Linked DNA regions of Macaca fascicularis. The protein of the gene in region 1 purifies or fractionates together with the protein of each later gene. This does not show direct contact. Links are inferred from orthologs where the notes say so. Each region holds a gene or a part of one and is shown on either strand. Other genes may lie near its edges. The genes, in order: EEF1A2 and VARS1.

Evidence for each region.
Region 2: the proteins of EEF1A2 (region 1) and VARS1 purify together in Homo sapiens (co-immunoprecipitation; 3 studies listed by BioGRID and IntAct, counting the BioPlex papers as one, with this or other methods). This does not show direct contact. The link is inferred for Macaca fascicularis from reciprocal best matches to the Homo sapiens genes EEF1A2 and VARS1.

Annotation. Positions count from the first base shown.
Region 1 is NC_088384.1:119,612,362-119,616,174, forward strand, and holds part of EEF1A2 (elongation factor 1-alpha 2), read right to left. Parts: intron 3,478-3,813; coding exon 3,298-3,477; intron 2,567-3,297; coding exon 2,270-2,566; intron 742-2,269; coding exon 591-741; intron 1-590. UniProt on the Homo sapiens protein: Translation elongation factor that catalyzes the GTP-dependent binding of aminoacyl-tRNA (aa-tRNA) to the A-site of ribosomes during the elongation phase of protein synthesis.
Region 2 is NC_088378.1:139,937,442-139,940,367, forward strand, and holds the end of VARS1 (valine--tRNA ligase), read left to right. Parts: intron 1-21; coding exon 22-228; intron 229-299; coding exon 300-411; intron 412-543; coding exon 544-869; intron 870-2,210; coding exon 2,211-2,279; 3' UTR 2,280-2,355; downstream 2,356-2,926. UniProt on the Homo sapiens protein: Catalyzes the attachment of valine to tRNA(Val).

The DNA.
Region 1 (3,813 bases):
TGGATGGATGGATGGATGGATGGATGGATGGGTGGATGGATGGATGGACGGGGAGATAGGTGGATGGATTGATAGAGAGAAGGATGGATGGGTGGGAAGATGGATGGATGGATTGATAGAAGGATGGATGGGTGGGACAATGGATGGATGGATGGATGGATGGATGGATGGATGGATGGATGGAGAGGTGGATGGATGGATGGAGAGAGAGAAGGATGGATGAGTGGGACAATGGATGGATGGATGGATGGATGGATGGATGGATGGATGGATAGATGAATGGAGTGAAAGACGGATGGGTGGGGAGATGGATGGATGGATAGAGAGATGGATGGATGGGTGGATGGATGGGTGGGTGGGTGGGTGGATGGATGGATGGATGGATGGATGGATGGATGGACGGACAGAGGATGGATGGGTGAGGAGGTGGGTGGATGGATGGATGGATGTGGGATGGACTCTTCCCCAGAAAGTGTGTAGTAAGGGGAGAGATTGGAGACAGCCCAGTCTTGAGATGCCTCATAGGAACCCCTGGTCTAGGGCAGGCGGAACTGGCTGGGCAGGAGCTCCAGCACAGCGCCCTTGCTCACCGCCGATCTTGTACACGTCCTGCAGTGGCAGGCGCAGGGGCTTGTCCGTGGGGCGCGTGGGGGGCAGAATGGTGTCCAGGGCCTCCAGCAGGGACACGCCGCTTGCGTTGCCCTCCTTACGCTCCACCTTCCAGCCCTTGAACCACGGCATCTGGACCGAAAGGAGAAAATCAGTCCATTACAGAGACATTGGTGGCCTCCCCACCCTCAGGCCTCCCCAGGGTGCCTCCAGGAATCCTGCTGTTCAGGCTAAACTTGCCTCATGCCCTTTAAGATGAGGAATTTCCCCAACCTGCTCCTCCCCAGCCCATAGCCCCAGCATCACAGGGACCCTGGGAAGGAGATCCCTCTTAAAAGGAGGAGGACAAAGAGGTAAAGCACCCTTCCCAGCCCAGGCTGCTCAGGAGTTGCTGACACTGTGAACAAACCCCCAGTCCAGCCCCAAGTCCCAGAAGGCCCCAGGCCCCTGACCATCAGCTCTAGGCAGGGCAGGTGACTTGACTAGGAGGATGCCGAGTCTAGACAAGGGCCAGGCCAGGGACAGAGCTGGAGGGGGAGCCTTGCCCCACCCTAGCTCCTGGACACCGTGCTGCCTCCAAGCTTGGCACAGCCCTGTCTGGAGCTTCTCCTGGTGCGGCCCCCACTCCCACCCCACGAAGCCTCCCTCTGGGCCACCTGCCACAAACAGGGAGCAGGGGAGGGAGCCGGCAGCACTGTGCCCCAGCCCCCCAGGGCCTGTATAAGCATGGGCCACCTAGCAGCTCAGGCCAGAGGGGAGTGTGGGTTCCCTGATGGCTGGAGGCCTCCCTGGAGAGGTGGAGAATGGCGTTCGCCACATGATACCCTGTGAGGAAAATGCCATCACAGGTAAACAACACCCAGCCTCATGAGATGGAGGCAGGGCTGGGGGAGCCCCTCTCAGCTCTGTCCCCAGACCTCAGCGCTGGGCTCAGTGCTGCTGGTCTGTCTCCCCGCTGTCTCTAGACTCCACACCTGTACCCTCACTGTTGGCAGCTACACTGCTGGCAGAGCCTAGTGGCGGCCATTCTGGTGTCTCCTCTGGCTTGGAGAACCCTTGGAACACAGTCTCAGGTTCTCCAAGTGTCTCTACGCGTCATCTCCAGCCAAGGCAGAGTCCCTGGGCCACAGACTGTTCGCACGCTGAGCTCCCAATTGACCAGCCAAGAGCCAACCCTTAGCCCTCCCAGCCAGCCCAGAAGCATGCACACTTCCCAAAGCCAAACCCTGCTCCAAGACCCCAGGGGAGGCAACCGGGGAGGCCCCCACGGCCCAGCCCACAGCCCCTGCATGTTTTCCAGAGCCAGGACAATGGCCTGACAGAGATGAAACCGACCACCCCCATGGCAGGGCTCTGGAGACCAGGCACATGGGCCGTGCTGGAGGCCACTGCTGTCCCCTGCTGTGTTGACATCGGGGATGGGCCCTGGCCCTGGCCAGCCGTGTGGGAGGCTGAGTGTAGGAGCAAAGCCTGGTGCTGAGGGGGGATGGGGCTCCCCGCCGGGCCTTGAGCCAGTTAGGGAAACCCAGCAGGTTTCGTGGGGAACCTGCATTTCCCTGGGACAGGCCCTCCACCTCCCCCTGCCACCTGCCGGTGCCTCGCTCTGGGGCAGGGGGTCCAGCCAGCCCGTGTGGCCCGCCTCGCCCTAGCCGCCACTCACGTTGGGAGAGGGCTCCAGCATGTTGTCGCCATGCCAGCCGGAGATGGGCACGAAGGGCACGGTGGCCGGGTTGTAGCCGATCTTCTTGATGTAGGCGCTGACTTCCTTGACAATCTCATCATAGCGCTTCTCGCTGTAGGCCGGCTCCGTGGAGTCCATTTTGTTCACGCCCACGATAAGCTGCTTCACACCCAGCGTGTAGGCCAGCAGGGCATGCTCCCGCGTCTGCCCATTCTTGGAGATGCCCGCCTCGAACTCACCCACGCCCGCCGCCACGATCAGCACTGCGCAGTCCGCCTGCCCAGCGGGGGACACAGTGAGCCCCGCCCCACCTGCCCAGCAGGGGACACAGGCCTCTCCAGGCAGTGGGCTGGGGCCTGAGCAGCCCACTGGGGCCTTGGGGAGGGAGACATGGGGGTCCCCACTTCAAGGGCAGTGTGGGGGGCTCATCGCCAGGCCATGGGTCAGGGGACCGAGGTTCAACCCTGGCTCCACCACCAGTGGGCTGTGTGTCCCTGGACAAGTCACTCAGCCTCTCTGGTCCTGTTCCTCACTTGGGGACAGATTGAGGTCACAGTTATCAAAGCAGTTTGGAGGTGGTGGCATGTGTCCTGCTGTCTGCAGGATGCTGTGTCTGGGGTGCCCGTGCATCTCTGTGAGTGCCCTGAAATGTCATACAGTCCAGGCCTGGCTGGTGGCACCTCTGCCCACTGCTCACTGTCCCCATCCTGGCCTCTAGCCCCTCTGTGCATGAAGGTGTGTCCATGTCCACATCTGCCCCCGTCTGTCTGGGGACTCTGACACTGGCTGGGTGTCCTCACAGGCACTGGGTCAGATGCCAGAGCCCTGGATTCCTTCTTGGGGGGGCTCTAACCCAGACCGGGTGAGGGGTGGCCCAGGTGAGGGGTCCCCTGCCCTCACAGGAAGCACAGGAGACCCCACCACCCCAGTGATCCCAGGGGCCCCCAGTGTCCCTTGAAGGGGTGCAGCGGCCTCTTCCCCAGCCCCACCTGCTGTGCCCTGCTCACCTGGGATGTGCCTGTGATCATGTTCTTGATGAAGTCACGGTGGCCGGGGGCATCGATGATGGTGATGTAGTACTTGGTGGTCTCGAACTTCCAGAGGGAGATGTCGATGGTGATGCCGCGCTCACGCTCTGCCTTCAGCTTGTCCAGCACCCAGGCATACTTGAAGGATCCCTTCCCCATCTGGAGCAGGTGAGGGTCACGGGTGAGGGTCACAGGTGAGGGCGAGACCTGGGACCCGGGGAGTCCCTGGCGGTGCGAGCTGCTTGTCACAGCAGAGTGGCCGCGGGAGGCGGGAGATGGGCTCCAGCCCCCGCTTGCTCCCCGCCGGGGTCCTGGAACGCCGGCCCCTCCGTCTGGACCCCACACGCAGACCCTGCCCCCCATGACCGGCCTCTGCACCGGCTCCGGAATGGGTGCGGCTACGCACATCCACCAGCAGGTGGCGCGAGGGCCTGGGAGTCGCCCGCTCTCCCAGCGAAGCCGCCAGATGGGATAAACCCCTCCCCCGCCAGGGCT
Region 2 (2,926 bases), on another chromosome or scaffold:
CCTGTACCTCTCGTCCCCTAGGAGTGCCTAAAACCTGTACTGAATGGGGTAGACCAGGTGGCAGCCGAGTGTGCCCGCCAGACCCTGTACACCTGCCTGGACGTTGGCCTGCGGCTGCTCTCGCCCTTCATGCCCTTCGTGACGGAGGAGCTGTTCCAGAGGCTGCCCCGGAGGATGCCGCAAGCTCCCCCTAGCCTCTGTGTCACCCCCTACCCAGAGCCCTCAGAGGTATGGCATGGCCTGGAGAGGGGAGTCTGACCTGCGCTGCAGCCCCCCTCACCCCCTCCTCCACCCCACAGTGCTCCTGGAAGGACCCTGAGGCAGAAGCTGCCCTCGAGCTGGCGCTAAGCATCACGCGAGCTGTGCGCTCCCTGCGGGCGGACTACAACCTCACCCGGATCCGGCCTGACTGTGAGCCTCACGCCCCCATGTCCACCCCATCCCACTGTCCCCTCAGCCCACTCTGCGACCCAGTGTCCAGCAGTGACTGCTTGGTTTCCTGTCTCCATGGAGCTAGGCCTCACCTTTCTCCCTCTCTGGCAGGCTTCCTGGAAGTGGCGGATGAGGCCACGGGCGCCCTGGCATCGGCTGTGTCGGGCTACGTGCAGGCGCTGTCCAGCGCAGGTGTGGTGGCTGTTCTGGCCCTGGGGGCTCCCGCCCCGCAGGGTTGCGCTGTGGCTCTGGCCTCTGATCGCTGCTCCATCCACCTGCAGCTGCAGGGGCTGGTGGACCCTGCGCGGGAGCTGGGCAAGCTGCAAGCCAAGCGAGTTGAGGCACAGCGGCAGGCCCAGCGTCTGCGGGAACGCCGTGCCGCCTCAGGCTACCCTGTCAAAGTGCCCCTCGAAGTCCAGGAGGCAGATGAAGCCAAGGTGTGTGGCGTGAGTGGGCATTTCCCACACCATCCACTTCCTCCGTCAAAACCCTGGTCTGGGCTGGTCCGAGTACAGTGGTGTTGACGATTAATTGATCGTAACCAGCTACAGATTTCTTTGTTCCTTCTCCATTCCCACTAACCTTACAAAACAAAACAGCCTGGTTCAGTGCCTCACACCTGTAATCCCAGAACTTTGGGAGGCCGAGGTGGGTGGATCACTTGAGCCCAGGGGTTTGAGAGCAGCCAACATGGTGAAATCCCATCTCTACAACAAATATAGAAAAATCAGCTGGCCACAGTGGCACACACCTGGGGTCCCAGCTACTCGGGGGGCTGAGGTGGGCGGATTGCTTGAGCCTGGGAGGTCAAGGCTGCAGTGAGCCGAGATCATGCCACTGCACTCCAGCCTGGACAACAGAGAGAGAGAAGACCCTCTCTCTCAAAAAAAAAAAAAAAAAAAAAAAAGCATCCAAAACAAAACCCAAAATCCAAACCAAAACTTCCTGGTCTGGAAGCTGGACTCTGTACCCAAACCTGGGGAATCCACTGGGAAGCATGGAGCCCAGGAGCTTGGAGCAGGGACCATAGAATGCCCTTCCCTTACACATGGGGAGCAGCTGGGGGCTGGGCACAGCCCAGGGTCACACAACAGGTCGGAGATGGAGGCTGACCTAGAACCAGGCATCCTATCTCCCAATCAGACCCTTCATACCCCACCCAGCTGCCTAAAATGTGGAAACCCGCATGCCTGAGGCTAGGCTTGGGGTCCACGTGTAGTCGGGAGCCCTGGACCTCCCACCACTTACTTTCAAGCCTACCGAGCTGACCCTGGAAGGCCAGTCTCGTTTGTCCCCTGCCTCCTGGGTTCCGCCAGAGAGGAGTAGTATAGTAAGCTGCACAGACATGGAGAAAATCAGTCATGGAGGCCAAGAGCTAGAGAGCCTTGAGTGGACCTGGTTCATCTCACCTGGTTCTCCCAAGAGCCCTGGGAGGGGTAATATTATCGTCATCTGACAAATGAAGTGATTGGCCTGGGACCCTGTGCTCTCCTGCTTACGTGGGGACACTGTGTGGGGAGCATGGAGGCTCTGAGGTTCCTTTGTTCTTGGGGACTGACCACTCTGTGGAAAAAGGCAAGACCCAAGAGGTGCTGGTGGAGGTGGGGGTCGGGGTGCTGGCGGAAATGTGTGGGGAGCCACGCCAGCCAGGTTCACGCCTCCTCCGAGCTACTGACCTTCCATGGTCCTCGCTCATCTTTCCAACTTTGTTGTCCTGGGTGTCTGGGGGTCTCTTCGCTTGGACGTGGGTCCTCACCCATCCCCTGGTTCCACTCCAGCTCCAACAGACGGAAGCAGAGCTCAGGAAGGTGGATGAGGCCATCGCCCTATTCCAGAAGATGCTGTGATCCACCACCTAGCTTCCCCGCTCACCCCCAGCAGCTCACCATGGGGATGGCAGCAATAAAATATTTTCCCACAAAATCCTCTTGTCATCTGTGGTGGGGGCAGAGAGGGGAGCAGAGGGGCTGGGTGCCTGAATCCCTGGGGGTTGCAGGGTGAGAGTGAGGCCCTGGTTCTGGAGGGCAGAGGGGCGGGTCTGTCTGGGTCTGTCCCTGGCACTGTGCCAGGCCTGAGTCACGCTGCTCACTCCCTTCCTCCTCCCCAGCTTTCATTCACCTCCGCACTGCGGCCAAGGGAGGCCCGCCCTGCCATGGGCTGCTGCCTGTGGCCTTGGGCAGGCATGAGCAAAAGGGCCAGGGGGGTTGCCTGCCCTCCCCCACCCTGTGGGGGCCTTCCTCCCCCTCTACTGGGCCTCGGTTAATTATAACTCTGACCTAAGTGCCCTGTGACGTCGTGCCCGGGCCAGCCCTTCCTAGGAGACCCAGCAACCAGGTAGGGGAGGGCCTGAGAGGACTCAGGCTTCCTGTGCATGGGGAGTGTTTCTGCAGCAGGGCTGGGAACTCAGCCAGGGACTGGGGAGGGGGGCCTGGGGGAGGAACCCTGGACCCCTCTCCTGGCAGCTGTGTATGTCCCTAATGGTCAGATGAGGCCC